4 linked regions of the Schizosaccharomyces pombe genome follow. The main gene of each other region encodes a partner of the protein of the gene in region 3 in a complex. Each region holds a gene or a part of one and is shown on either strand. Other genes may lie near its edges.

Region 1 (7,455 bases), on a different chromosome or scaffold from region 3:
TCCGCAAATATTTGCTTGCGTTTCTCAAAATCACTTAAGCACATTTTCGCATTTGACCTTTTTCCAAGGACTAGCCATTCAATTTCTGAAATCTGATTGTTAATTAATGGTAAAAAAATTTGGCATATTACCTTTATGTTACTCATTAAATAATGTAAACTAAAAGACTCGTATCTCGATAATTTCAAGAAAGTTTCGAGGTCTGGTAAAATCGTTAGTGGTAATAAATTTTATACAATACCTTTTAATATTATCTCAAATATCCTTTGGTTACCCCAGATTAATTTAGGAAACACTCGAACAAGAATGGATCGAAGAAACGCAAACACCTGGTTCGGCTTTAAGGAATAACTAAGGATTTTTTCATCATCGTGGGTGTCAATATATGGGCAATAATGGTTGTAAACTTTTGATAGAGAAATACGATGGAGTCGCTTTGCTGTTTGTTCAATTAAAGGGTATACCTTTAGGAGACGTTTGGGCACAACTGTACTCTGTGATACCAGTGGAATCACTTTGTGCAATTGCTTCACTTGAAATGCGTTTATAAGTCCAAATTGCCTTGGAAAAATCCATTGAAGCCACATGTGTACTGTGTTCCGATCACAAATAGAGTGTAAGTTAAAATATAGATCTAAAATTAGTTATGAAGGATAACAGTATTAGTTACCTTGCTTAAACTTCTTATAGGATGACCTGTAAAAAATGCTAAACCTACTAATTGAAATGCTATTCCAGGAAACTTCTTTGCGGGCGCTTTTATTTTGAGTAATGGATGTTTCAATGGTTCGCTTTCTTTTTTTTGACACAGTTTCCTCAAACACATTATTTTTAAAAAGTGGTATGCCAGAAATCTGAAGGTAATTGTCATTTGGAAGAGCCTCAAAAATACTTCCTTTGGATAATAAGTAATGCATGGCATCACTGCCGATACTATACTTGTCAGTCTTGTTCAAAGTGCGCAACATCTTAACCGGTATTTACATTTCTAACAAAAGTTGCCAATTTTTTGACTCAAGTATAGATATAAGGTAATTAGGAAAAGTAGAAACGAGATCATTTTGTACTCCGTTTACATGCATGGCTCGAAAATCTTCATGATTCTTTATCGGTTAAATACAATCTCTTTGAAACAGTAATTGCAGGTAAATATTTCACAATTAGAATACCTTACCATGGAAAACCCTTTCATCAGTAGATTCCTTCGACGCTCAAAACTTTCATCGAACATCTGTTTTACAACATTCGCTATTAGCTGCCCATATATTAGCTATCCCGAATAGAAAAAAATCAAAACAAAAATATATATACCTCTGACTGTGAGCATTTTGGAGAAGAAAATTGAACACCTTCATCTGGCTTACTGTCGAAGCCGACTACAGTCGAATGAAGAAAAATAGAAAAGGACGTTTGTACATCGCTTCTCAAGCGTTCGCATATATTGCTATACGAGCTTGCCGGCGACCCTCTCAAAACAAGTTGTACATAATCATTTAAGGTACATAGGTATACATATTGATTCTCTAGAAAGCGAAGAATCCTGCTTTTGGGGGTATGGTGTTCGGTCATGCAAGTTACAAGTAACCATTAAGCATAACTATATATATGCAAAGTGTCCTACTGATCATAACGTTTTAAATAAATAGTGACCGCAAATATTGATTAATATTTATAATTATAGGATTTTTTTTATATAATGATAGCTAATAAATGTTTTGCAAAGTATCTTTAAACTAATAACATTACACGAGTAGAATCACCAATCTTTCTACTACTATCAATTATAAGCGAAACTAATTTAGATTATTCATTAGGGGGAATAGTGAAAAAGGTACGATTCCAGGAGTAAAACGGAAAAAAGCCTAATACGAGATGATACATATTTGGAACAACATGAGAATAGAAAATAGAAAAATAAAACCGCGTTAAAGGAGTTGTAGTGGATAGAAATTTTTGAATATCTCAATCATGCTAGACGTGTGCAAGCATCAAAAAACTTTCGCGGATTACCACCACTAAGGACATGATTTTGCAAATAATTATCAACCTTTTCAAGGCAAACGTTGGATGATACCAAATACTCCATCATGCGACGTGACTCATCTAAAGTGTAAGGCTCCATGTTAAGAATATGCACGGACTGTAATGAATCTAATATAGTCTCATCAGAAGATTTGTAAGGATTTCTGTGAGCTACTCCAAGAGCTATATCCAATGACGGGGTAGAAACACGCGGTTGGCTAGAAGTAGCAGCTAAAACAGTACCACGATTAAAAGTAAGCGAACCCGAAATATATTTGAAAAGTAAATTAATAAAGTAAAAGTCTTTAGGGGGAAGGAAGTTGTTCTTTTTGTCCTTATACTTGGTAACGACCGATAAAATAGAAATATTATCGATCACTAATAACACCTTCATATTGGAATTTGACTTGGTATTGTTATTGAGTTCTTGTAAAAATATTTCCAGAGATTTAGGAGCGTTCGAGGAAGCAATTAGCTTATGAAGAAAGGAAAGTAAATCGGTACCAGCAGGAATGCATTCGTTCTGAAGCAACTCATGACTTTCAAAGGTCTTTAGCTTCTTAAGTTTATCAGAATTAGTTTTCATAACAGAAGTTAGAAATCCCTTAATTAAATCTGGTTGCACCCACAACTTGAGTTGCTCATCATAACCATAACTACTCGTTGAATTTACCCATCCTTCGCAGTTATGGACTGGCAAGACTATAAAATTAGGTTGTGATAAGGCGAAAAGTTCAGCTTGTATGAGAGCAATACTTCTTCCTGAACCTGGAGCACCATCAAGAAGAAAACGTCCGTCCTTCGTACCCTGGTCTTTGGAGCGCTGCAGTACATTCACTAATTCAGTTGTAATTTTCCTGTGCAAAAGGGAAGCACTGGTAAAAAAGGAGAAACTTTTTTTTTGTTTTTCTAAAGCCCCAAATCCATTAAGTTTATTAAGCAATTCCTCGGGGATTTTAAACATCTTACCTTCAGACTTGCTGGACCAAGACATATGCGGATGAATTTCAGAGGGCTTCACCTCTTCTAAAGTATTTTCTCCTTCATTTAAGAGATGATCCAATACAACGCTACTATTGGGAATAGTCGTCGATTTCTCTACTGACGAAGTTGAGGGGGGAATTTCATTAATTCTTGGCGCTTCCGAATTTTTTTGACGCTGCTGGTTAGAGCTTGAATGTATATTTCCTCCAACAGGTCTACCCGTATGCTGGTATTGTGAGGATGAATAGTATTTGTTAAATGTGCATTTTTCAAAAGTGTAGAGTCCTCCCAGTTTACTACCGCAAACAGTCAGTTTTCCACCGGACAGGATATTAGAAATTCTCTCTGTATTCTTAATAATACTACTTCTGCTTCTAAACTTCGGTAGCATTTTGTTAGAGGTATTTTTTTCTCGTAAATCTTAAGTATACATATCTGTTCTCACGTAAATGAAGAGACTGACTGCTTCCGGATGGTAAGTATTTACTGAGCTCTTAGCGCATTGCTAATATTTTTTAATAGGGTAGATTTGGCGTTCAGTAATAAAGAGAACTAACGTATTGCTAATAAGTGTCTCTACTTTTGCAAAAACTAAAGAATCGTAAAAGTTTTCTTACTTTCTTCGTTTGTCATAAAGAAAGTAAAAACAGTAGATTGCTGAACTGAAAGAGAGCTTTTTCTCTTATATATTCAGTAGTTTGATAAAAATTTTGGAGTTTGAAAGAAGAATTTCGTATCCTGAACCAACTTTTTAACAAATCAATTTTGCAGTCTTTTTTGAGAACTTTTTGTCACTTAATTGTATTATCAACCCTTTTTTTTTCCTTGTCCCTATTTCGTTAATCATGTCTGCACAAATAGAAAACTCCATTCCTCTAGATTTCGATTTGGGAAATATGGCTGCATTTGATATTTCTCCCTTAGATGAAACTAAGCTTAGCGGTTCAGAGAAAGAATCATTCCTTTTTTCTCTCAGTAGAGATAACGTTCAACAATTGGTGAACAAAATGATTTCCTTGCCTAAGGAGCGTACATCAGATGGCGTCCTTTTACAGCTTCCTGAAACTGTTACACCTCTTCCTCGTGCTAAACCTTTACCTAAACCCAAGCCCGAAACCAAATGGCAACGGTTTGCTCGTATTAAAGGTATTGCTCCTAAGAAGCGGGAAGGCAGGTTGGTGTTTGATGAAGCATCTGGTGAATGGGTACCAAAATGGGGTTATAAGGGTAAAAATAAGGAATTAGAGACACAATGGCTTGTTGAAGAGGGAGAAAAGGAAAAGAAGCTTACTTCCAAGCAAGTGAGAAATACCTCAAAAAAAATCAAGCGCTCTCGTCGCCATTAATTGGTCCTGCTTAAAAAAAATTTTTCTTAATTTAAAAATTTACTATAATTTAGCTATTCATGGGTTAAGTGGTATAATATCATTTTTATTTTGTTATTATCGTTTGTTTTTGTTTGCTACAACTAAAATCCCTTCTTCAATTGGGATATCAACGGGTACAGAAGGAATATGTAAGACATCGGTTATGTGGCTGCTTTGTTTACACATTTTTATGTGTTAAAAATTAACGAGCACTTTTTTGAAGCTGCTACTCGAAAATCGAACGTTAAAATGTTGAATGTTTACGAGTTAAGTGTAAAGTAAGTTTTAACAGCAACTGTTTTGATACACTGTGGGATTTCCTCCAATTGAATTTTCTAATAACCTCTTGTAAAAAAAGTTTCATACAGTTAAAATGCGACCATATCGTAGTTAATTATTATTTTCTGTATGCAGTCTTAAAAGGCTGGAACATCATATTAAGAGCCCAACTCATGGCTAACTGATATGCAACATTTTTGAAATGTTCAACAAACAGAATTTCATCAGACTCAACAATAACAATCCTTTCTAAATTACTATATAGATTGCAACATCAGTCTAAATATCTGAATGCATTAGTGGTGTAGCGGTAACATTGGAGCTTCCCATGCTCTAGCTCCGGGTTCGACTCCCGGCTGATGCAAATATAGCTGTGAATTTTTAAAAATATAATTGTTTATGTTCTAAAATTGGTTTTTGCATTTTCTATGAATGATATACTCAATCAAAACATATCCTTTTGAGTGGTAAACATAAATTTTTAGTAGATTATATAAATAAATGTGCAAGCCATACTTCAATTTCTAATCATTTTTAAACCGAGTGTATAATAAGTTTTCTAATACTGACTTGTTTATTTAAATATTTAACATAATAATTAATTTTGATATGAGATTGATGCTTTTAGTAGTAATAATAAAAAAAATTTAAAAAATGCAAATAAATAGAAAAAAAATTAAAGAAAAACTCATTAATCCAAAAAAAAGCTTACCAATATTATCATTTGTTTCTCGGTTGGCTACTTCGTCGATTTTATGGTGTATATCATTAATTTTCTAAGTATTGTTTACGTTCGATATTTTAAGCAAATACTTAATGCATCCCCAAAGACCACTAGTTAGTTTTAAAAAATAAGAAAAGAAAATAATTTATGTACAAATAACTTTGCTTATGTTGATAAAGTACAATATCATTGTAGTCATTCTTTCAAAAGCGGAATTCTTTCCTATATCCACTAAGGTAACCTGGTTATTCTTGCCGTCCGCAACAACAAAGAAAACAGCTATTCAACTATTTCATTGATAAAAGCGTTACTCTTTGGATTAAATTAGCATTGTATTTAAAGAAGAAATCGACTCATCAACGGCCTTGCTACTCTGTTTTAGCTTTGTGAGATCTAATCAAACGCGCTACGAACTCCTAAGTGCCCGCGTTTGAGTAGATAACTCATTGAATCAACAGCCGATTAAAGATGAGTAACCCAAGGATGTTCCAAAGCCGTGGAAAAAGAGTTGTTTCAGATAGCTTGCCTATAGCCAATTCGACACACACTTTAGAAGATACTTTGAAATTACGGCCTGACTGGACCATAGCGTTAAGTCAACATGAAACTGAAACAAGGTCGACAAGAACTAGTTGTAGCACTACCACAGAATCGACGATTGCTATGAGGAGTAAACAAAAAGCCATTATTTCTGTTCTGGAGGAATTTCGTGATTCAGAAGCCGCTTACGTTCATGATCTGCATGTAGCTCAACGGTACTATGCTGACCGATTATCGGACCGAGTAAAAAAAAGCGAATGGAAAGATGTGTTTGAGATTTTTCTGGTATTGTGCAAGCAAGCATCACTTTTCGAAATCGAAATGCACAAATCCTTGAACGACGAAATCAATTACATTTTGGATGATCAAGATGCCTGTTTGAAGCCTAAGCCTTCCGTTGCACAACTATTTCTTTCATGGTTGCCCAAGCTATCTGCTGTCTATGGTCGATACTGCGTGATTCAAGAAAACATTGGCAAAAAGGTGGAAAAATGGATGAAGAACTCATCAATCTCAGAATATTTGCAGGAATGTGATAGCATGGCAAAAATTGAAAGTAACTCTTGGAATTTAGATAGTTTTTTAGTAAAGCCTGTGCAGCGTTTTCTGAAGTATCCGCTTTTACTAAATCAGCTTTACCGATCTGCTTCACTGGGTATCATTTCCGACTATGTGTTGCTCGGGGAAGCTTGTCACAAATCTGAGATCGCTAGCCAAAGAATGAATGAGTTAAAAAGGAGACGAGATATTATAATTACAGCCCTGGATAGCGTCTCGAATTCCCAAGAGGTCTTACTTCTCTCCACAGATTCAATTGACAAGAAAATTGCAAAGGTACGTCGGGTTCAATGATTTTCTATCTTTAAATTTTTCGACTAATTGTTTTTTAGCTTCAAAATTCTACAAACATTTTCTACGTACCTGAACATGAGCCCATTCTAGCGTTTGTCCATCAACTGTCTTCATCCTATACCAATCTTTTAAATTTACGAAGTGCTATCTGTGATTGGTTAAAATTCTCCAGATATCATTACCTAAAATTCTTTACCTTCGTCGAAGCCTATTCTGTGTTTTGTAAAGACACTAAATCTGCAGACAAATGGGCTCTCATTAGTGTAGCATTAGACAACATTGCCAAGGGTGCAGTGCTTCGTTTGACAGAGCAATGTCAAACATCCGTTTTGAGACCTATTTCCAATGGTATTCTTTTCTTCCGAAACCCCCTTTGTGTTACCGATGTATGGATCAAAAAAGCTACAGCATTTTCCAAGCGACGCCAATCTCAGGTTTTTGAAGAGGACCTTGAAAGCTTCCCTTTACTTAGTAATTGCCTTTTAGAAGAACTTCCTCTTTTTTTGGAGATGGCGCGTAATGTTACCGACGAATGTATATTAGCATTTGCTCAAATTCAAGCTACCTTTTACGATACCATTCAGAAAGTCCTTGAACCTGTCGTTGCAAAATTCAACTTAACTGACCACCAGGATATTCCATCGATTGAATCCATAATGGATTTCACCAGTTTGCGGTCTAGTATGG
Region 2 (6,400 bases), on a different chromosome or scaffold from region 3:
GGTATCTATGTATATAGACGGATAGTTACCCATGATTATCAATAAACGGATCTTAGCTAGTATTCCAACATATGATCTATAGTGATACGCAACGTAGTATATCATAGCGTAGTGTAGTATTGCTGACAGCTGATGATGGCTACTCAAATTCGGTATCAGTTTTAACGATACGTAGGATCGCAGTGAGTTTTCCTTGTGATCATATTATATTTTAGTACACAGATACTATTAGGAACAACTGTTATAGAGGTTTCTAATATTGGGGTTATATTGTACTTTTAATTAAAATAGCTTATAACTGAACTAGGGAGCGAATTAACTTGTAGCTCTATTCATAATCTTTTGTAGTATCAGATATCAGCTGGTAACTTTTTAATTAAGCTGACAGCTACTCTTAACCAAAACAACTGATATTTACTAGTATGCGAAAGTATGGCTCAGTGGTATTCAAAGTATTGTAGCACAGCTCAGTGTATTGTTGCTGATTACTAAATTTGATTTTTTAACACCATCAAGGCGGCATCTTTATAATTCATTTTCAACTCGTATATACCGTGGCAGTAACAATTATGATTCAATTACGATAAAAACAATACTTCACATCATGAAGCCTTACTCGTAGTATCCATTTATTAATGTAATAATTTGTACATGATTTGAGGCTGCTAATATCCTGTCATAACAAATACTTCCATCGTGGCTGAATAATAATAGTTGGCTACCTACGGTTAAAATACAATACACTGGACAACTCGTAGTAGCGGTCTCATAGAAACTACTGAAAAAGGGAAGCAACTAAACATAAAACTCTAGAATTTTTAATTTTATGAAGTATTCCAAATGTTTGAGATGATGTTTGCATACAAATATGTTTAGCTAAAACTAGAAAGCAAACCAACTTCACCAAATGAATTGGACAAAATTATGTAACGTGATGATAAAAATGATGATTTTATTTTCATAACTTGCATCAAAAAGGATGGTTTCGAGAAAGGGATTCAAAAAAGTTGGTTTGAGTTTCGTCGGAACATCTTTGTTGAACAAAGAAAAAGTAGCGGAAAAAAAAAGAGCAGAATGAGTGAATGAACGGATCATTTGGCAAATTATCATGAAATCAACAACCAAGGAAATGTTGTACATCAAGGTGTTGTAAGAGAGTGGAGAAATTAATAATAAAAGTTAATAATTCACAAAAGCTTGAACTTTTAAAAACATTACGCAGTTAAAGTGCAGAATTTGTTTTTTTTTCGGTCTCTGATTCTTTAAGGAGAGGATAACTTTTGAAATACGATTTGGGAATGAGTCGAATCAGAGAGCGAGTTGTATCATTTCGTACTGCGGAAGAACAAATAAGTTTGGAATACACTTTAACGGCTCTAGAATAAAGCTTCTGCTGAATTAGGGCAACCAGCCAATAGTTCCATATTCGAACGTCAAAGTTTTTTTGCAACTTGGATATAGCTTTCATGGTAATTAAGGTACGCTTAAAATCTCGATGTTTGACAAAAAAAACGAGTTGGGACGCCAAAACCGAGACCTCAAAATCGACATTCAGCCTTATACGTCCCGTTAGGAGAGACACAGCACGAAATTGAAGGTCGTACGACGAATGAGGGCAATTGAGAATACCATTCAAGAGGATTATAAGAGACTTTCTCTGAAAGAGGGAATGCTTGCAATTTAGTTGATTCTCTAATAAAAAAAGCAAAGCCATGGCATCGTTCAGCCAGTAACAAATCGATTTCGCTAAAACCGTATTGGTGGTTGGAGACAACTTTAAGCTTCCCGGCTTAATTCCAGATATATTACAAGGAGGTGAACTTTGCGTTATACAAATCAAATCTTTGTTGCCCAAATTCTTCATAATGTTACCAGAATAGTAGGTATTTATAACGTATAAAATTAAATCGTGATAATGAAGCTGACTTGCGGCTTGTAACATTTGAGACACTAAACGTTCGTTTCGAATATACGGGTCAATTTTCCAGAAAAATGCAAAAGCAGAAGAGTATTGACGGTTAACTAGTAGAGCTCGCATGGAAAAAGAATAAACAACTTGAAGATACGCCAATGAAGGTCGCCAAACAGAATGCTGCCAAACTGAAATCAGACTCAGTATGTCTTTGTAGTTACCTTTTTCTGATAATGGTTTAAGAAATGCCGAAACTATTCGATGGTCGAGAAGATAACTATTGTATTCTTCCAGCTGAACAATATCGCGCATTAAAACCCAATTACGGTTTTTTGAGAGTAATTGTACAAATTTTATAAATGCATCTTTTGGCAATGGTCCCATGCCTGCACGAGACCACTGTTTATAAAGAAAATGAGCAGTATCAACTTGGTTATCACGATATGCTATGGAAAACAAAAACGCATAAACGTGTTGCAAAGGAAGCTGTTGATTTTGGAATCTCAAAGGAGCAAATATATGACCTAATGACTCTGAGAAGCAGAAGCGTTTTAAATTAGAGACTGTAGAGGAATCCATCCCAAGATGGGAATTATGGAAATGATACACCAAACACAATTCAACGTACAGACTTTTGAGATTTTGGGGTAACTTAATGTTACTCCACCAGTTTTCTCGAAAATTTTGATATAAGATTGCTTGTTCAGTCAAATTGCATGAACGGAATCGTTCTAAAAAACGGAGGCAGAGTTCAACAAGAAAATCTTCTTTTTTATTTTTTTTGGCGACATTAATCCAAATGGGAGTTATTTTTGCCAACGTTTCAACCTCCAGTTTTGAATACACAATGAGGCAAAGATCAGGATTTTTATCAAAACATTCGGCAAACCGTTTTTTCACGTAAATTAGGAATGGGTTTTTATGTTTGTCAAAAGGCACAGTAACCTTTTCAGTTTTATTATCAGCATAGACTTCACTGACTTTTCGGATAATGTACATTAAATCGTTTTCACTAAGAACAGCACCTGCGCTGGAAGGCAAACACTTGTGAAATAATTGATTTTCTGCAAAACTTGAGAGAAATGCTTCGTTTGAAGCAGATTTCGAGTATTTATGTAATTCATCAGAAGACGCTTGTCGAGGCCTGCACCCAGTTACCTTTTCATGATGAACGCTAAGCTGGTTTAGTGACCGCACAACAAGACGATTTGGGAAAGGGATTTTAAATTCCCTTAAACGTAAATGTTTTGTCCATGCAAAAAGTAGTGGAGATACACAATTTCGCATCTCTTAGCCTGGCAAGCAGACAAAAGTCGTCCCCAAAACGAGAGGCGTGGAAACGAAAAGACGCGTTATGAAGAAAAGAAACGATAATCAAATTAAAAGGATCACTATTAATGAGAGAAGGGGGTACTTGATAAAAAAAGAAAACGAGAACTCGATACGAGATGATGCATATACTTCCGTTCCCTTTCTATATGATGCGATAATTCAAACATTAAACTGTGCGAAAAGGCTCAATAATGCATCTAAACATTTCATCCAAGGTTTCCAAAAAACAGAAGGTGGTATAAATACAGCTAACTGAGCAAACCTTCCAACGTTGCGAAGTTGGGTTCTAAGCAAAACCTAAGATTGCTATTTCCTCATTAACAGGCAGCGTTAGTGAATTAACGGAAACCATCGCTATAGTTTATTTACGTTATTTTGTTATAATAGCTCGTTATTGTGTAAACATGGAAAGAACATTCATGAGTAAAAAAGAGGTCCCTTAATATAATTAAATGCAGAATATCCCTCTAAACTATTAAACTATCATTCATCGATCCTCTTAAGAATCGCTAATGAATAACGATCAATCGGCCATCATCATATATAGGAATGGCATTGAATGCAACCAGCATTTAGGCACGTTTGTTGACTCATTAGTATTTAATCAGCATTTACAATATCATCGAATACACTTTCGTCAAAGAACACAAGTGTAGTCTATTTACCTTACTTCTTCGTTATAAGCTACAGATTAACCTTACCTAGGTTATATAACACTCATCATCCAGAAGCGAATATCGTATTCTAGCATTGAGATTGCCAGCTAGCAGGTAAAATCAAATACGGAGTATAAATATGACTGCGTTATAAGTGAAGAAATGAAAATAACTGCTAAAAATGTATGAGCAGGCAAGAATTCAAGTAGTTGATGTCCATTCATAATAATACTGTACGATCAATGGCTTTAAATATTTGCAGCACTTCATTTTCACTTCAGAACATGCTAGGTGTAGCGGCATTTGCTGCGCTAATTTACTCAGTCAGTTTATGACAAAATCAAATTAGCAAATACGCATACAGCTTCACAAATACAGTACAGCCATTTAATTTGCTTTACGAAACATATAATTGATTTTGTCTAATTAATCTTAAAATTTTTTTGGAGTTTTTTGAACCATTGTTATTAATAATTCTAACGGCTGCCGGTAAATATTTAATGAAATCAGTGAAAATTAAAAGTATAAAAAAAAAAAAGTTTATTCCATAACAAAAAATTTTTAAGTATTAAAAAATTTTTAAGCAGTTTAACTTGCTTTCCTATGGCGTTAACGATTGATAAAAAAATATAAAAAAATAAAGGCAATAAACTCTATATACCTTTAGCAATTATAAAAAAAATATCTAAAAAATAATAGGGACTTTCAATCCATAAAATTAATTTAGATGAACAATCGCTTAGTTTAAATTCCGAATTTACAAACAAGCCATATCTTAGCAAAAAAAAGGCAATAGATGTGTTTAAATTTATAAATAACTATTTCATTAATAGTGTTCGTATCCTTGTGTGTTCTGAAATAAATATTCATAATATCTTACCATTAGGTTATACTCAGTAGCTACTAAGATGAGGCACACTAGTACCGTCAGCTAACACTAGCTTGGCCAGCCCAATTCCTCTTGGAAGCCATTTTCACCAAAAAAGTTGGTTTCTTGCGCTTATAATTCACTTTTTTAGCAGACTATCCATATAAGCGATTGTTTATTACCTCAAGTCATACTCTCCATTATTTATAGCGCCGTGGATGTGTTTTGCATAATTAACCCATCTCAATCATTATTCAATCCTTACTTCCATTTTCACGTTTCTATTACTGATTATTTTACTAATATACTATTTAATAACTTTTTCAGGAGGAAGATCCAATGCCGAAATTTAATGCAAATGGTTTGCTACGCAGCTTTGCAGCTGAAATGAAAAAGCCATGGACAGCAGAGTCTTTATGGTACGAAACGGTTGCTAAACATCCCCCAACCTTTCAATATGCTAGACGTATTGTACCATTGTACGATCCAAATAAGGTAAAATCCCGTGGTAAACGGTTACGAAAATCAATGTATCAGCCTCAGGAAATTCAATGGCCAGAAGATAAACTCCGTAAAAGGTTTTATCGAGATCATCCTTGGGAACTAGCAAGGCCTCAAATCATTGCAGAAAATGACGGTAATGATCAGCAATATTGTGATTGGAGTCACATGGATCAACCGCGCAAAGCATTATCTGGCGAGAGTGTAGTGCAAAGAACTTTATGGCTGATTGAAAACTCTAACATGCCTGTAGAAAATGCTTATGATCAAGCAAGAAAGGAATTTTATCACCTACGCGCTGAACAAGAAATTCAGCAACGCGTTGCCCATGATCAGGCTCAAGCATTGGGTGCTGTATTTACAAAATCTGATCTGGAGTTGGGCTATGAAATGGATCAAAATGCTTTAAATTCTTGGTTTGATAATGCTTCACAATACGCTGAGGCTAATCGTACAAAGTTCACAGACCCGAGTGTAGATATCTCTAAGACGACTCAGTAGTATTTAAATTCACAGCTGATATATCATATTGTCTCCTCAAAAATTGATTTTTGTTTTGTTTTTTTTTTTTTCAGAATTTTCTTAGTACTATCCCCTTTCAAAAATAAAACAGATATTTTTCATCTCTTTATGTCTTCAAATTAAAACAATCTATCAGAACACATTAAATTTCTACCATCTATTTGAATACATATATATATATTATAAATATTATTCAAAGCTATAGCAAGCTTTTCAGATGACACTGCCGTTTAGCCAGCTAGCGAACTTTCGCTCCAAACTTTTAAAAGTGCTTTAAAAAAAGTTCATCATTTATTGAGCAGCCAACATAGATAAGAAGATGATAGCGTCTATACCCATAACACTTTTTGTCAGGAAAGGAAAAATTTTTCTAATATTAAACGATTGCCAGTAATTGATTTTAGTCATGAATCACGAAATGCCACTTTTTTTCCCAAACAAAAAGTTAAGATACATATCAAAAAAACCAAACTCATGCCTCAACAGGATTGGTCACCATCTCACCTATGTAGACTCTAAAAATTACCATCATTTACCTTCCTTTCTTAGGTCGAGGTTTTATTTCGTCTTGCGGAACAGGGTGGAGCATGATTTTATTGGGCAATTGCG
Region 3 (9,678 bases):
AAAAACCTTTTAAAGAATGTAACGATGAAATTACTGTCTCAATAACCAACGCAACCAGAAACACACTAACCCATACCAATAAGGATTTGCAAAATAGGTGAAACACTATTTGAGCGGGTAAAAAAGTGTTGGAGAATTAACTTTTTCATGTTTCTTTCAGCATGAGTCTTCAAAAAGGCATCCGTTTGCACTAAAATGGAAGAGGAAAAAAATTTCGACATTTACGCTACATACCTATTTAATTTATGGTCTGAGTGGAAAAACAGTAAAAAAATAGAAAAGCGCGCTAAAACAAATTAATATACAAGGAGACTTTGTACTGTTGAAGTATATGGAGTCTACTCGTACAATAATACAGTAGTATGTTGTAAGCAACTTTGAACACGAATCTAAACGCAACCAACAACTTAAGATGGAAGAGCCAAAACATATGGATGGGCCGCGGAATAACCGCGGCCCATGCCCTGAGCAGAATAGAAAAAAAAGATTTTTTTTTTCTTTCATAAAATTAAAAAATTCAAGACAATGTATGAATAAGAACCTCTCGATCTAGCATCCAACCTATAAATGAATATCTCTGTTGCATGTTTGCTATATTGAAAATGTCGCTAAGGAGTATCGAGATCCCAGATTAGAGAAGCGTTTACCATGAGTTACAGAATCCTTTTATTACACCAATTCTTAAATCATCTCCAGTCTATAGCCGCAAGTATTGCAAACGTTGGATTTTGCGATCAATGCTTTCCATTTAACGCGCTAAAGCAATTTAACAAATACAATGGTATAGCGCGAAGTCATAATAAAGGAGTAAAATTATATTAAACAGTTTATTAGTATAATGATATGGTTATATGACTTTAGAACGAAAGGAAGCATGTTAACGCCGAAAAGAATTAAAAAAGCTGTAAAGAAGCAGCAGTTTATTCGTTATTTTCACCAATCCTTTTACTAAAACCTTTTCGAAATGTACTCTTATTTTTTGAAGGTATAATGAAAAGGTGGGATTCTCGGAACTAGCACTACTATGGTTTTAGCAAGCCCTGATTCTCATGTTCGAGGGAAAAAAAGCACTAATGGTATCAAACAATTTCCTACTATCATATTACTATCCTTTCCTTGGAAATTAAATGCTAGCAACGGCAATCCTTTGTACTTTCTCCGTGCACAATATCTAGTACACCAAATACTGGCCCACTAGTCGGAGGGGAACGGGTATTTGTTTATTCTCCTCTTTTTTGCGTGCTCCATCTCCTTTGAAGCTCTATTTTAGTTGCTTTGCAGTATCTATATCTGCTACAAGTAGCCAGAGGCGTTCTATGCCTTCAATCTGAAGTTCATTTTTTCATTCTATGGCGGTATGCTATTGGTTGAGTACACACAAAGAACAATGGATAGAGTTTTATTGTTTACATTATCAAAAAACCTTTAACCAATAAAAAAAATAGCCGCTACCAGAAAAAAGTCGCTTAAAATTAATAAGTCTTTTGATTGGTCGCTGTACATAGAAGTTCATTTTGGGTGGACGACAAAAAAATAAGCGAATATCTTCAACCAATCAGGATAAACAGCGATAAAACGAAAACGGGGAAGTCATTAAAAAATGGCGGTTAATGTCAACAATGAACAGTTTGAAAGCATAGAATTCCAGATTTGAATTGAGGGAAACGGAGCACTACAAAGATGTATAAATACAGGCATTCTGTCCCAGAAGAAAACCAGAATTCGTTCAAGTCTTCTATTTTACATATTCACTCTTTCTATTTCTTATTCTTCACTCTACAAGAACTCGCGTTGGGTGTGAATTTACATCCCTCTTGTCAACAAACCTGCTCCGTTAGCTAATTTTCTGTAAATTTGCTTCGATCTTTCTTATTCTAATCTTTTAATCCTTTTTCTTTTGGAATTTTGCCTTTTTAAACTCTCCCTTTTTTTGAATCAGTCAACAAATTATAATTTTCTTCTTTTATTTGCTAGTTCATCGCTTAAACTATCTTTCTTTTTCTAACTTATCAACGAAATTTTATTTTTTTCACATACATTATGAAGATCACCGCTGTCATTGCCCTTTTATTCTCACTTGCTGCTGCCTCACCTATTCCAGTTGCCGATCCTGGTGTGGTTTCAGTTAGCAAGTCATATGCTGATTTCCTTCGTGTTTACCAAAGTTGGAACACTTTTGCTAATCCTGATAGACCCAACTTGAAAAAGCGCGAATTCGAAGCTGCTCCCGCAAAAACTTATGCTGATTTCCTTCGTGCTTATCAAAGTTGGAACACTTTTGTTAATCCTGACAGACCCAATTTGAAAAAGCGTGAGTTTGAAGCTGCCCCAGAGAAGAGTTATGCTGATTTCCTTCGTGCTTACCATAGTTGGAACACTTTTGTTAATCCTGACAGACCCAACTTGAAAAAGCGCGAATTCGAAGCTGCTCCCGCAAAAACTTATGCTGATTTCCTTCGTGCTTACCAAAGTTGGAACACTTTTGTTAATCCTGACAGACCCAACTTGAAAAAGCGCACTGAAGAAGATGAAGAGAATGAGGAAGAGGATGAAGAATACTATCGCTTTCTTCAGTTTTATATCATGACTGTCCCAGAGAATTCCACTATTACAGATGTCAATATTACTGCCAAATTTGAGAGCTAAACTCATTTTATCTTCATATTTTTTTTATTTTCTAGTATGTTAGCCCACACATCTTTACAAAGCCATGTGAAGCAATTTTTTAAATTAATTGCTATTTTCGATCTATTATTTTACCATACGATCTGTATTCCTATTCGCAATAATATTTTTAATTTTCATCTTAGTCTTCATATTGTAAAAAAAAAAAAAAAAAAAAAAAAAAAAAAAGAAAAAACGTATAGTAGTTACAATATTACTGAAATCTACAGTACTATACTTCTTTCAGTTGCTTTGTTTTTTAAAGTTAAATAAAACATCAATTTAAAAACTGACTATTAAACCACATGATTTGCGGATTGCTTAAGTAATAATAAAAATGAACACTACCAATTGTGTTAAGCGATAAAATTAGTCATATCCCATATAAGAAGAAAGCACTGAAGTTTCAATTGAAATGCGGAAAGCTACTGCTCATTTAAAATGCCTAGGACCTGCACAAGCATAGCAATGTAAAGGAGCTGCACTTGAAATATATATGACAGTTGAGATCCGCAAAGCATTGTTAGAATATATAAAATTTTATTCCAAAACTTTTTACTGTACTTCCGCATGTACTGTTGAACATTCAACTTTGTAAGAGACAGTAATGTCGTGAATATATTTTTCAATAATAAATTTTAAACTGAGACCATTGAACGAAGGGATCATTTGAGTTCATAAATTTTAAAATTTGAACAGAAAAGGAAGGCCTTTGACGATATCTCTTCTTTATTTGTTTTTCTTCGTCTTACCTTGCCCTATTTATGGTCTTCTTAAACATCAAATTACACCTTAGATAGTAGCTCTTTAATGATTACTCAAATTGTCTTTTATTACTAGGCCCGGAGTCTGTACAATCTAACTAGTTTTCTAAAAATATGAGAGATCCAACTGTGTATTATATCTAAACACCACCACTCCACTCTTTTACAAGAAAGCCTAATACTTATATTCAGAACGGTTTTAAGCTCTCTGATTACTGATAGAGAACTGAATTACAAAACCAAATTGTCCACTTCATTATTGAGCTGGTTTCTGTCTCATCTGTTGATATCTGAGATTTTGCATCATGGTATACATACTTGGAGTGGCTGTAAACGACGATAAACCTGTGCGGTTTGCTCTACTTTCTTTTTATGGAATTGGACATGCCAAGGCTGAAGAAATATGCGCAAAATTATCATTTCACAATACGTTAAGGGTTCGAGAGCTGACAAATGTTCAATTGACAACGTTGTCGCAACTGCTATCAGGAATGACTATTGAAGGTGACTTACGGCGTCAACGGAATGCTGATATCTCAAGATTGGTGAATATCCGATGCTATCGGGGAATGAGACATGTAAACGGGTATGAAAAGATCATTTGTGAACGTAGCTGTCTTCGACAACTTTTTCAACTTAACTAATGAATATTTCAGGTTACCCGTTAATGGACAGAACACTCGGACGAATGCAAAGACTGCTAAGAAGCTAAACAAAGTCCCACGACGAGGTTATATGACACTGTCGCCCGCTTCTACAAGGCCCATCACATGGAGTTTTTGTCTACCGAGAATGGTGTCTGTCTTTCAAAAATTAAAACATATTCATTAGCTAAAATAACGTTTATGAAATCAAACTTCACTTATCATGTACACTTCGTATTACCTCGATTTGCTTGATTCTGTTAAAAAACCAACAACCGGGATACGAAAATGAAAACGTATTCTATTTTTATTGTGTGAGAGAAAAAGCTCTCGCCTCGTAATTTCCTTCTAATATACAACAGCACTCAAAAAAAATACAATAAATCGAAAAATTGCATTGAGGCGATACTTACTGTGTCCTTTCAGTAGTAGGTACAGTTTGCTTCCTTTGCTGCAACTGATGAATTTGTTCAGGTGTTAGTTTTAAAGAACTGGAAACAGCGTATGGCTGAAGCCTGGGGACCATTCTACCAGCTATAGGCGAGACACCCGCTGATGAATTGTTACTACTATTTTGTGAAGCAGCTACAGCTTGAAAGGCTGCTAGTTGCTGGTTGTGTTGTTGTGCACCAGCAGCAACAGCGGCGTTTTGCGGCCGTAGAGCCCTGTTTTGTGATTGCAATTGTGCAAAGTTTCTCTGAGCCTGTATTTGCTGTATTTGTGCCTCACGCTCAGATTTCAAACGAGAAAGTTCGAGAGGGGAAGGAACCGGCGGCAATTTTTCAGTTGAAGCTGCAGATGGTGCAATCGCTCTCTTGGTCATAGTGGGTTTTTTAGCAAACTCTCTCTTTTTAAGGATCTTTCGTATAGCTTCAAATATAGTAATGGGTCGGTAATGTCTTGATACAGTTGGCAATAAGAAGTAAGAATTATGTTTAATCAAATGGTTAGGTGTTCCTTCATCCCGTAAGGATAGATGTTGGCTAACTTTATCCGAATGTCTTAAGGATTCATCTAATTTCTGCTGAGCGAGTCTTGCATGGGAGCCAGTCAATTGGACATTGGCGGCTCTGGGATCCACTTGAATCCATCTTTCAAAACAATCCCACGCAGTCCGCTTCTCGGCAAGCGGTATGTACAAACCTGGTGGTGTTAACCTACTGGCAACAAATTCCCAATTAAAGGAATATCGTCGCAAGAGTAATAAAAGGAGTTCATCTTCTTCGGGCAACCAAGGGGCTTCTGGACGAATATCTTTACTAGAAGGCGGATACGGAGGCCGCACACTAAAGGTTCCTACTGAGGATAGCTTCTGATTATCATCCTTAATTTTATTTCCATCTAGCTGGTTCTCATCGCTTCTCGCCTTCTTTTCCATAAACGACTCAGGTGGTGATAATTCCAATTGGTTGAACAAACGTTTCCTAGAAGCCTTTGCACAGGTGGATTTAAGCTTTGTTTTGGCATATGCAAAACGTGACACAGGAGTGATCGGGTACTTTTCAGATATTTCTTCACAATATTCATTGTTTTCAGTAGGAGGACCGTACATAGGAACGTTTAAAACGCAGTTCTGAATTTGTTCGGAGTTTGTTGTCACAAATATATCATCCGAAAAAACAGCATTATAAAACTGTAAAGAATCCCTGGGAATAGAGAGCACTTTGTTGTTATTATTATCATTTAGATTAAAATGGCTCACTATTTGTTCATTAAACGTTTCCTCGTGAGAGTCTTTCTGATGTTCATTCTCTTGCATGTACGGCTTCTTATTCTTTGACAACGAAGCCGGAGTACAAACAGTACATTTATCACTAGCTTGATGGTAATCCATTACCCAATTCGCCATTCTATGAGCCAATATAATTTTCCATTTACGCTCTTGAGAAAAATCAATTGACATCCATTGCATCTCATCCAAAACATAATCCCGATGAGTTTTCAATCGTGGCATCTCGTTTTGTCTTTTGGGCTGTCTAAAGGACCAAATACCTTTTTCTTTTGCAACCGTTAAATGATGTAGTGATTGTCGTACAATTTCCTCGCGATACGCATGAGACCAGTTATCTGATAGAACATATTTATGTGCATTTTTCAACCTTAAATGTAAAGGCGACATTTCTGTTCGAAGCAGCCATGCTTCTGAGGAAAGCTCTGGTTTCACCGGTTCAGAAAATTTTGAAGGAGGAATTAAAGTTAGTGGCATAGATACAGAAAGTTCAAAAAGCGGAGCTTCAACCCCAGTTCTGTCAATTGTAGGGGATTTTTCCGATGGTAACTTATTTTCCATTTGTAATTTACTAGGCTCAACAATTTCATCTACTGGCTTCTCGTTGACATCAACCGCTACTTCCTGAACAGGAGATTCAGTGGCCTTGTCAACGGAAATGATTTGTTGTTCCGAAGGAATCTCTTGATTATTTAATAATTGTATAGTTTTTTCAATATCAATACCTGATTGTACATTCTCAACATCATTTTCAGTGACCTTGGCTTCAGGAGAATGAACTTCTTCAACTTCATCAACCTTTGGGACTTTATCTTCAATTTCCAAAACTTCTGCAACAGTGACAGGGGGAGCCGTAGGTTCCGTTGTCTCTGATACCTCTTTCTTTTTCACTTCTTTAGACTCAACTTGATCAGTCGCAACCTCTACCGGTTTGGTAACGGTCACATTTTCTTCATTCCCATCTTCCTCATGTTCCTTTTCGGTAGCTTCAACCACTCTTAATTGCTTATCGACTCCTTCTTCTTGAGAGGATTTGTTTGCAAGTTCTTCGGTAAGCTGTCGAGCAGCATACTCGCTATCTGGCGTCAAAGGGCCTTTTTCCTCTTCAGCATGAGCAGTGGTTTCCACTTCTTTTACGGGTGTTGTTGGTTCAATAGTTTCTTTCTCTTCTACGTCAATATTTTTATGTATAGTTTCAGGTGAAGGTATGGGAGATTTTGACGTTATAATTTCCTCCTCGCTAAGTTCTAGGGAAGTTTCTTTTAAAGGTGTCTCCTCTGAAACTCCTTCCAAATTATCGGGTTCTTCGGGAACTATCGGTTCTTCAACGATAGGAGTTACAGATTCTCTAGCTGAAAGATTAAAATTTCGCCCCCTTGCATGTTAGTTGTACATTTGAGGAAAATACAAAAAGTTACTCAATGAGACATACCTTTTAAAACGATACTTTTGATAAAAGTTAAACCACTCAGAAACTTGCTCTGGTAAAAGATCACTTGATGAATGAAGCCATTCTAATCCATTAGGAAACTTGCAATGCAACCAAAATAAAAGAAGTAACTTTTCATGTTTCTCTTTTGTTAACTTAATCTCTTCATTGTCTACAGAGTCGTTTTCTTCTTCTTCGTCTAGAGTAAAAAGGGAGGCAAAAGAATCTGTTATCGATAATTTTTCACCATCGACTAAAGCAATTTGACTGGTTTTGGTCTCCTTCTTTTTAATTAAAAATATTAATTAGTTATCGAAGTACAATAAAATTATCACTTTAAGGCCCGTAAGACTCGTAAAAACGTACCTGTTTCATAATCCCAATTTAAGCGGAATTACGCTGGAAAAAGCATACAAATCGTATTCTAGAAAAGACACAGTTTTGCTTTTATATTTATTGTATGATGATATAAAGAACTCAAGGATCCTGTATACTTTCAGACCTAATGTGAACGAAGTTAGTCTGATGGTGTTGAGGCCCCCCAAGGGATTTGAGCCCGCAATCAACCACCATATTAGGTGAAGTAGAAAAACAAGGAAATAGCACTCTACTAGGACACAGTTTTGAACTACAAGTACAGCAATAAGACTGTCTTTTATTTTCGTCTTTTTGTTGCTCGGAGAAATCGCTTGTTCTATTTAAAAGTTGAGACGTTACCATAAAGGTTATCGGCATATTTCAAAGCTTTAAAAACGTTTCCCTTTCAACTTAAATTATTCAAAAATACATTCAGTTGAGCTACATGCCAAACCTACTATCATATCATTCTAAAAAAACTATCGTTAAGTGATCTATTTCTCCCTTATTTTCAATTTGTATTTATTATTTTACGACGTGCTAGGAATTGTGAAAGACTCTTATTTATGATCAAGTTTTTCTAGATTTTTGCGTTGCATTTGGTTTTTACATGCATCTATTGCTCATCCCTTGAGGATTATTTCCACTTTCTGTTGTGGATTTTCTTTTCTTTATAAAGCAAGATTGCCAAATTGTTGCTCCCAACATAACAAGGGATAATAACAATTCATCGTTGCTTTCGTTAAAACATTCTTTCATCAAAAGAACTCGGCACCTGCTCTTTATTCTACTTTGCATTTTTGTTTTAGTTCCGTTTTGCATATTCTTATTTCTTCTTCTCATATTACTTTATTCTTATTCTTTATTTCTCTTTTTATCTGATAATCACCTTGGTCATTTTAATTTACCTCTATGTAAACATTCTTGCATCTATATTTTCTTCTAATTATTTAAGGATTATGAGGATTTGGATTTTAATATTTTTCTCCTTCATTAAACTTGTCTCTTCGTTACAATATACGGGAAATGGTGTTTTAGCTTTGGACTTCGTTGCGAAAACTTTTCCCAACCAGGAAAATCAATTAGAGAAGCGTGACTATACTTATTCTCCATCTGGTATCACTTCATTTCCTTTAGATTTGCAGAGTTACACTTACTACACTACTACCCTTTCGATCGGTCGTCCGAGTATTTCGTACACTGTAGCTATAGATTTGGACATGCCGTACACATGGTTGACTTACTACAATGTAATGGCGTTTAATCCAGCGTATCTTGGCATAGTGAATAGTGGTACTCAGTGGAGTACGGATGAACTGCGATACTTTCTTTGTAAAAAAGAAAGTGATTCTTGTTATTTTGGGAATGCATCTTCTAGCTTCCATTTTGTTACGAGTCCAAGCACTTTTTTTATCCGCTATGACGATAACATTACAGTTGCTGGAATTAATGTTCAGGACTCCCTTTCTTACAGTCATTATCAAGCTTTACCGGACTTCCAATTCGGCATCACATTAAAGGAGTATGTTCCCAGTTCAATGCTGCCGTACAAAGGCGTGCTAGGTTTAGCTGCCAGTACCGAAATTAATTCAATAGATTATTCGGATTCCATTTCAAGTTTTTCACCACCAACCTTTTTGGAACAACTAGTTAAAGAGGATATATTGGCATACCCTGCTTTTAGTATGTATCTGGATAATCAGGGTAATGGAAGTTTACTTTTGGGAGCCGTGGATACGTCAAAGTACCAGGGACAGTTTGTCGCTTTGAAGCAGACTAAGCTTACGCATTACGCCGTTTCCATTTACTCTGTGCAGTTCTTAAACTCTACGTTCTTTTCTAATTATTCTATCATCACTGATGCATACTTTCAAACTCGTGAAACTTATATTTATTTGCCTGCCGAATTGGCTTACAGTGTGATGGATAATGCTGGTGCCTACTTATCCGAAGGCTATTTCGCATTAAACTGTGATGAAATTGATTTGGAAGCCGCTCTGATATTTCAATTTGGATGTAATTCAACTATCAAGGTACCGATATCGTTGCTAGTGATTGGGCAAGTTTCAAACATATGTCTTTTAGGTATTC
Region 4 (8,177 bases), on a different chromosome or scaffold from region 3:
GTTCCTTCATACGTACTACTGTTTACCGTTTTAGGATTTTTTATTTTCATTCTTTTAGAACGAATCGCTGAATCCGAAGCTCGTAACTCAACGTCAGTTAGCGGTGGCATTTCTGCAAGGGAACAGCTTTTACGTCGAGGAAGTTTTTGATTTTACAACTTGAGTTCTAAACACCGGAGAGAGCAGTATCATCTCCTGTTATATTTTTCTTAACAAAAGTTTTTTGTATGCTTCTAAAGTCTGTTATTACTTGTTTGTCTTTTTTATTAAACACTTCGGAATTGACTTCAGAGCATTCAATATTATATTTCAAATGTCTACCACAACCATGAATATAGCTTCGGCTCCAATTGAAGTGAAACGGATATATTGGCCCAAAAGTACGATCTCTTATACCGATTCTGGTTACTTAGTTGGTTGGAAGTACTCTACCAACGATCTTATCGTTGTGACAACAATTACTAGTTATCAATCCTTCGCTAATTTTTTAGTTGATTATTGCAAAAATCAAGATCAATCAGTAGATATTAAATCTCTGTGTATATTAGGCACGTTTAATTGCTCTGCCGATATTTTGCCGGGTGACAAATATGAAATTGATTGTTGGATCAAAGTGCAGCAATCGACTGAGCTTTCTCATCCCCGAGTTTTCGATTCGGCTAGTACGCCTTTAAAAATAAATCTGCATATAATTTATTATCATCCTCCGCAGCCAAGAAAAATGCAATTTCTTTCCCTTGAACCTCTATCGCTTTTATTGTTAAAAGATAGTTTTATTAACAAGTCAAACCCTGAATACGAAAGCATGCAACACCAGCAAATACTGTTAAAAAAATTGAAATTGCACTTTCCCCGACGCAAAGAAAATAGCTGGAAAAGGAGTCTACGCTCAGGCTTAATTGAGCTTCTTAATCAATCCTTCGAGGTTCGCATGTTAACACATGAAAATAATAACAAAAAAAATTCATATGTTTTTCGACTTTTTGATCGTGTCTCGTCATCAACCTTTTATTTTTTTAATTCGCTGTTTGCTTACTTTATCATATTATTGAGGATAATTAATGAGGTTATACTCTTGGCGATTAATTACCGACCGATTCCTTTATCTTATAATATGATGGATATTTTCGTTTCTGCTCGTCAAGTAGATTTGAGGTTGCAACAAGCGTGTTTTTGGCCTGTACAATATATGAAATTATGGGTTTTTCGGAAAAGCAAGCGCGTTGCGATAGAGGATTACAAAGAATATATTAGATTCTATAACAACCTTTGGTTGGTTGCGAATGACATGATCTTTGGGATTACAATGAGTTCATTTATTTTAGAGAATCTTCATCTGGTGGTAAAATTAATAGAAAATATCACATTCGAGTATGCGATAAAAAACGTTCGTTCTATGGTTATATGGCTCGTGGATACTCCTGCTGGATTAAAACTAAACAACGACATTTGCAAGTTTATTATGAAGCTTTCTGTATGGGTTATTGACGTATGGAGTAATTTTCTTTTGCATTGTTTGCCTTGGACTCCATTTTTGGTTCAAGTTGTCGCTATTTCTGGGTTTGGGGGTGCTAGTTTAATGATCGCTTTAATTTCTGATTTTTTAAGTGTTATGACTATTCATATACATTTGCTTTATTTGGCTTCATCACGTTTGTATAATTGGCAGCTACGTGTAATTTATAGTTTGCTGCAGCTTTTTCGAGGAAAAAAAAGAAACGTTTTACGAAATAGAATCGACTCATATGAGTATGATTTAGACCAACTACTTTTAGGAACAATCCTTTTTACGGTACTAATATTCTTCTTACCTACAATATATGTTTTCTATGCAGCATTTGCATTAACACGAGTATCCGTGATGACATGCTTGGCAATCTGTGAAACTATGTTAGCCTTCCTGAATCACTTCCCATTATTTGTTACAATGTTACGAATTAAAGATCCTTATAGAATACCAAGTGGGCTGAATTTTGAGATAGTCAGCTTTGAACCATTAAAACAAGACGGCTTCGCAACGCTATATCTCAATTGCAACTCCAAACCGATGTCTCTTGGATCCATGTTTGAGCATTATCGGAAACTGGCGCGTAGGTTAATTTCGCATTACCTTTCAAAAACTACTTTGATTAGTTTGCTCGTAGGTTGCCCAGTTCCAGCGATACCTGCTGAGCAACTCTACAATATCCAGTACGCTATGCTTCCGACCAAAAGAATATCTATTAGAAAACTGCGAGATCTTCTTTTTCATCAGAAAAAATTTCCTTACGACTGATCAAAATGTTAAGTATTGTTGCACACAGTTGATATATAATATTTTTTGTTTATGAAACAACAAAATTTTTATAATTAAACTTAGTTTATCAGTTTCGTTCAAAGCTGTTTAGCCGTTACCCATTTGATAATAATTGGAAAGAAAATGTGCGAAATGTAACCGCAAAGTATTAGAAAGGCACAATTTTCAATTATTTATTTTTCTAAACAGGAGTTAGAAGGTTCCTAATTCGGTTTTATAGTAAGCTTTACATACTTTTTGACTTGGAGGCTCCTTTTCCTTGGCGTATTCTCCTAGTATTTTAATTAGCTAATTTCTTGTGAAAGAAACATTCAATCTCAATTAACAACTAACATACCCTTTCCTGATTTCCATTCGCAATTCCTCATCACTATCGGGAAATGTTTTATCATTTAAAAGGGTCCTTAATTGACGATAATTGATAGTTGCGGGATAGTAGCTCTTCAGTTTTGCTCCCTTCAGCTCTTGTACTACAAATTTGCGACCCGTTCTCGAGTTGTTTGATTTATACTGAGTGCCAAATATTTTTGATGAGAGAATATTTAATTCTTCCAGGATTGCTTTGCTAGCCATGATTTTATACCAAAAATTAGGGAAGGCTCCTAGGGAATGTGGTTGCTTAAAGTTAAAGGCAAAACGAAATAAAAACAACAATAATAAGGCTAAAGACACTACTATGATTTCATCTGCAAGGATTCTGAAATTCTGTTATTGTAAGTATTATTAGCGCAAGTCTACTTAGATATACTACAGCGGATGATGTGGGATAAGTAGTTCATCAACCCCACATGGAAACATTTTGGTGCATTGACTAAAGATAGACCTGTAAATAGGTTTAGTGGGATCAAGTACTTAATATTCTACGCTTTAAGAGGTTACGAGTAGTTAAGTAGAGTATAATAGACACCAAATAGTTGAACATATTCATATAGCGTATTATTTCCATTAGCTGTAATATAATATAATTGAAGTTCACTGGCTTTCAGATTACGTTAAAAAACTTACACGAATTTAGTAATATATACAATATAACATATATTAAGGATAAACGAAGCAAAACTATCCTGAAAGGTAGATATACCAACCCGGATAACCAATTGGAAAGATGGTTGGAAAAATCATATCTTCGCAAATAATTGCAAAGAAATTAAAACCATCTAAGACCCACACACAATAATCTGAGTCATTAAAGACAAGCATCTTAGATATTTACACTTTGTAGATAATGTAAAAATAATAGAAAGCGAAATACGTAGATATCAACTATTCGGAAAAGGGAAAAGAGCGGGTTTTATTAAACAGATGACTCAACAATTGAGCTTGTTATTTAATATACAAGCATTTTTTAGCAGCAGCAACAACAACATCGGCATTTGGGACAGAAGCAGCCTCAACAGGATGACTATAAGGCATGGGAACATCTGCCATACTTACACGTTCAACAGGAGCATCAAGATAATCAAATGCGTCAGACTCCATAATTTGAGCAGCAATTTCACTACCAATACCATGTTGACTATATGCCTGGTCAACAGTCACAATACGATTTGTCTTCTTAACACTGGCCGCGATAGTATTGATGTCTAAAGGACGAATACTACGCAAGTTTATAACTTCAGCTTCAACACCATAGTCAGCCTTGAGCTTGTCAGCTGCTTCTAAAGCAGTAACAACAGAAATAGACTCACCAACGATGGTGATATCTTTACCGGGGCGCTCCACCTTAGCAAGGCCAAAGGGAAGCACAAAGTCCTCGCTCAACGCTTCTTTCGAAATTGGAAAGGTTTTACCATAAAGAATTTCGTTTTCAAGTACAACAACGGGATTAGGATCACGAATAGCAGCCTTCAACAAACCACGAGCATCTTCTGCTGAGTAAGGAGAAACTACTTTAAGACCAGGGATACTACCATACCATGGAGCAAAGTGTTGAGAATGCTGAGCAGCAACTGCAGCGGCAGGCCCATTAGGTCCACGGAAGACAATAGGACAAGCCTGAATACCACCAGACATGTACAGGGTTCTGGCGGCCGAGTTAACGATATGATCGATAGCCTGCATGGAAAAATTGAAAGTCATAAACTCACAAATAGGACGTAAACCAGCAAAAGCAGCACCTGTTGCCAAACCAGTAAAACCCATTTCAGTAATGGGAGTGTCGATAACACGTTTAGGACCAAACTTGTCTAATAAACCTCTAGATATCTTATAAGCACCATTGTATTGCGCAACCTCTTCGCCAATCAAGAAGACACGATCGTCACGTTTCATTTCTTCTTCCATTGCACTGTTCAAAGCATCACGAACGGTCATTTCCTTCACTCCATTGGAAGAAGAAGAATAGCGCTTTGCGATGGTTGAACTAAGAAGTTTCCAAGAACGACTGGTCCCAACAATTTCACCAAACTTTTGAAGACGAATCATTTTAAATTCCCTCAAACTTCTTTTTAACTTCGTTAAAAATTAGGGCTATCCCGCTGTGTTGTTGTATATGTGTAGTGGGCAAAGTAGAACAGTGTGATGGTAAAATATTTCGAGTTGGCTTATGGTACAACAAATTAAATACAGTACGTAGATGATTAACAAGAATACTACCACTTTTATAAATTTTGTGTTTATTGCAAATGACAAAAGAATGGTTAAACAGTCTGATATGATTATAACCTCTTAGTAGTATCATTTGTTTCATCTTATTTTTGCTAAATAGTGAAATGTGTACATACTGAAGCAGCTGCAATAACGTGCTTAACCGATAAAGATAATTTGTTATCACTAGATACGGTGCTCAAAATTGATTGCCGCAATAGATCGTTTGAACTCCTAAGGGCGATATCCGAAAAGCAGAGCATAAACACCGACAAAAAGGTGATGAACGAGAAGTTAAAACAGCCTAAAGTTGTGGTTCAAATTGATGCATAATTGCACGGATTATTGATTCCGGTGCATCAGTGACTATGAATTTTGAAGCCCTCAAATATACTTAAAGCATTACTTTATTTTCATAACAGTAAATTCATCACCATATGATTTGTACTAGCCATGTAGAGATAAAAGCTGCTTTGTATTATGATAAACTACATAATTCATTAGCGAAAATAAAAGTAAACAATTTCGTTAGCTTGACATGGAATTTTTTTTATTTAATGGTCAACAGCATTGAGTATAAACAAGCCTTGAACCAATGTATGGTTTCTGATGATTAAACCAACAACAGATTGAATAGTTATAGTTGGAAATTGATGAAAGAAAGTTCCTTTTTTAACTTCGGACTTTTTATTGACAGTATTATTTAAAAGTTATATTTAGTACACGCGTTATAAGGGTTTCTTTGGTACGCGAAGTCAAAAAATTATTTCTTGCATTATTAAAGATTGAAGATAGTTTTATAAGCTACAGACCAATATTTAATTTGCAGTTTTTCACATTTTCTAAAGACTTTAACAAAGGTAAGGCGTTTTTAGAGATAAATGTTCAGACATAAACTTTTCGACAAAAGTACATAGCTTAACTACTTAAAGTTTTCCTGGTTTTTTCCGCCTTTGACGTTCAATGAGACCGTAAATTCATAATTTGGCATGCTACAATCCTCTTTTTACAATAGATGCAAACCAACTGTTGTAGACTTTTAAACGATAATTAATGATTGCAATCCCAACTAATAAATGTATGTCCCGTGTATAGCATCTTTGGTAGGTATTGTGTCATAACTGCAAGTTTATTATTTCTCATCTAAACAAACCGACTCACAAACTTCTCAGAATATATGTTTGATGATAGAGGAAAAAAAGTTTACTTTGTATACTTGTTATGAATAGTCATACGCTGTATTTTTTTTTCTTTTTTTTTTGGATAACACTTATGAAGGACTAAAGCATGCGGCCGTAAGATATCATGGATACACAGTGTTTATGTGTAAGCATTAATAAAGAAAATAATCCGCTTTCAATTTTAATACTCGCGATACATTTTGCAATTAAAAAGGATGTATATTTTATTAATTATAGTCAGTGTTTATTTGATACATAATATTATTTTCCATGGAAATATAGAGAATATCGTTATAATATATGCAATGCCGATTTTTGACATAATGTGTATGATATGATATATATATACAGCCAACAGTACTGACGAAATTTCACCCAACTTACCATTTTATTGTGGTTTTTTAATAAACTTGTACAGTTACTTTTTGTACGAACCATTGATTAATTTAAGAAAATGGCCTCTTGCTGTCCAACAAGTCGTGGTGCCGCAGCTTCTAACAAGTCCTATACCTTTAAGGGTAAAGAAATTGAAAACTTTGGAGGATTGACCACCTATGTTGTTGGATCTACTTCCAATACCCGTGTTTTGATTGGTTTCATGGATATATTTGGTCTCTCTGATCAAATTAAAGAGGGTGCTGATAAATTGGCAGATGATGGCTTTACCGTCTACTTACCCGATTTCTTAGAGGGAAAGCCGTTGCCAGTTACTGCTTTACCCCCTAAGACGCCAGAGGACCAAAAGTTATGCAATGATTTTTTTTCTACTAGAATTTCTCCTAATTTGCACTGGCCGAAACTTGCTAAAGTTGTAGAAGCTGTGCGCGCTAACCATGGACCAAATGTTACTATTGGCACTTATGGATTTTGTTGGGGTGCTAAAGTTTTGGTCACTTATCCCGCTACAATTGATTTCGTTGGAATTGCTAGCTGTCACCCTTCCTTCCCTGATAGCGCTGATGCAGCCAATGTTCATTGTCCTGTATTGTTTCTTTGCTCTAAAGACGAAGATGCTAAAATCATCAAAGAATGGGAAGAAGCGTTCAAGACAAACCCCGCTTATGCCAAGTCTTCCTTCGAAACATTCAGCGACATGTTCCATGGTTGGATGGCTGCTCGCGCAGACCTTTCCAACCCCGAACAAAGGAAGCGCTTTGATGAAGGCTACCAAAAGGTTTCTTCATTTTTCCAATCTTTAATGTGAGTTTGATGTTTGTTAGATAGTCATGATTTGTTATCGCTATTGATTTTTTTTAATCCAATTATTAACTAATGACCTAAACTATTCGATACAGTAGCTGTACGCTTTACAATACAAACAGGTGAAGCTTCCAATATTCACTTAGGCTGTAACATATTTTGAGGTTTGCTCAACCTAGATGCCTTAGTACTGTTTCCTACAAATTTATATGTTTTTTAGGATCGTGAACAAAATAGCTTTTAAAATCAGTTAAAAATTTTAGCCACTGTTATTTTTTTGCGAGTAACTCTACGCTTCACTGCCTATGATATGTTGCATAGAGATGAATTCATTTTGTATTAGTTTTAATTCTAATATTTAGTTTTATTTCTATTTATGAATATAATGTTTTTATTGTATATAAATCAAATTTTATTATTTACGTCCTGCTAACTTAGTCTCAGTATATTCTGCCAAATCCCGTAATTGAAAGCACCGAAAACTTTTTCGAAAGGCGTTTTTATGTATCCGCATCTCCCTTGTAAAATACCAGGGCTTTCGTTGATTTATGATGATGAATCGAAAGTTGAAAAATCGAAGCAACTGTCTACAAACGCAAGTTCATCAAATTTTGTAAAAGAAGATCAAATTCCTTCAAATTTATCTATCGATAATATCAATACCCCACAGGGCGACCCAATCGATAAAAACAACTTGAATACTAATACTGAAAATAATCTACCGAACATAGTTAACTTTCAGAATATTTCTTCAGCGAATTCTGGCGAAATTAAGCAAAAAGATAATGAAATTTTATTTTCTTCAACAGAAGATATAAACCAACACAAGGAAAACTATCAAGATGAGAACAAAATCGACTTATTGGATGTTGCATTGGCTAACCCAAAGGATTGTGTTGTTCCATCATCAGGTT

Evidence for each region.
Region 1: sws2 (region 3) and rsm23 share a complex: the UniProt entries of both Schizosaccharomyces pombe proteins name them as parts of the mitochondrial small ribosomal subunit.
Region 2: sws2 (region 3) and rsm25 share a complex: the UniProt entries of both Schizosaccharomyces pombe proteins name them as parts of the mitochondrial small ribosomal subunit.
Region 4: sws2 (region 3) and rsm27 share a complex: the UniProt entries of both Schizosaccharomyces pombe proteins name them as parts of the mitochondrial small ribosomal subunit.

Annotation. Positions count from the first base shown.
Region 1 is NC_003423.3:2,064,542-2,071,996, forward strand, and holds rsm23 (mitochondrial 37S ribosomal protein mS29), read right to left. Parts: upstream 3,450-7,455; 5' UTR 3,398-3,449; coding exon 1,967-3,397; 3' UTR 1,646-1,966; downstream 1-1,645. Other genes in the region: telomerase reverse transcriptase 1 protein Trt1, read right to left, coding at 1-92, 132-202, 242-634, 671-933, 985-1,103, 1,175-1,255, 1,312-1,569; ribosome biogenesis protein Rrs1, read left to right, coding at 3,852-4,352; gef3 (RhoGEF for Cdc42/Rho3/Rho4 (Gef3)), read left to right, coding at 5,845-6,750, 6,807-7,455. UniProt on the Schizosaccharomyces pombe protein: Component of the mitochondrial ribosome (mitoribosome), a dedicated translation machinery responsible for the synthesis of mitochondrial genome-encoded proteins, including at least some of the essential transmembrane subunits of the mitochondrial respiratory chain.
Region 2 is NC_003423.3:4,290,396-4,296,795, reverse strand, and holds rsm25 (mitochondrial 37S ribosomal protein mS23), read left to right. Parts: upstream 1-4,833; 5' UTR 4,834-5,107; coding exon 5,108-5,770; 3' UTR 5,771-5,900; downstream 5,901-6,400. Other genes in the region: PPR repeat-containing protein Ppr7, read right to left, coding at 1,223-3,199; nucleoporin Rae1, read right to left, coding at 6,324-6,400. UniProt on the Schizosaccharomyces pombe protein: Component of the mitochondrial ribosome (mitoribosome), a dedicated translation machinery responsible for the synthesis of mitochondrial genome-encoded proteins, including at least some of the essential transmembrane subunits of the mitochondrial respiratory chain.
Region 3 is NC_003421.2:979,047-988,724, reverse strand, and holds sws2 (mitochondrial 37S ribosomal protein uS13m), read left to right. Parts: upstream 1-3,570; 5' UTR 3,571-3,733; coding exon 3,734-4,014; exon of another isoform or gene 4,015-4,084; coding exon 4,085-4,259; 3' UTR 4,260-4,481; coding exon of another isoform or gene 4,482-7,176; 3' UTR 7,177-7,233; coding exon of another isoform or gene 7,234-7,514; 3' UTR 7,515-7,579; downstream 7,580-9,678. Other genes in the region: P-factor pheromone Map2, read left to right, coding at 2,041-2,646; vid21 (NuA4 histone acetyltransferase complex scaffold subunit Vid21/Eaf1), read right to left, coding at 4,482-7,176, 7,234-7,514, 7,597-7,605; yapsin Yps1, read left to right, coding at 8,547-9,678. UniProt on the Schizosaccharomyces pombe protein: Component of the mitochondrial ribosome (mitoribosome), a dedicated translation machinery responsible for the synthesis of mitochondrial genome-encoded proteins, including at least some of the essential transmembrane subunits of the mitochondrial respiratory chain.
Region 4 is NC_003423.3:3,067,086-3,075,262, reverse strand, and holds rsm27 (mitochondrial 37S ribosomal protein mS33), read right to left. Parts: upstream 3,010-8,177; 5' UTR 2,870-3,009; coding exon 2,634-2,869; intron 2,569-2,633; coding exon 2,531-2,568; intron 2,478-2,530; coding exon 2,470-2,477; 3' UTR 2,276-2,469; downstream 1-2,275. Other genes in the region: gpi1 (pig-Q), read left to right, coding at 314-2,275; pyruvate dehydrogenase e1 component beta subunit Pdb1, read right to left, coding at 3,620-4,720; SPOM_SPBC30D10.14 (dienelactone hydrolase family protein), read left to right, coding at 6,518-7,267; snoRNP assembly factor Naf1, read left to right, coding at 7,766-8,177. UniProt on the Schizosaccharomyces pombe protein: Component of the mitochondrial ribosome (mitoribosome), a dedicated translation machinery responsible for the synthesis of mitochondrial genome-encoded proteins, including at least some of the essential transmembrane subunits of the mitochondrial respiratory chain.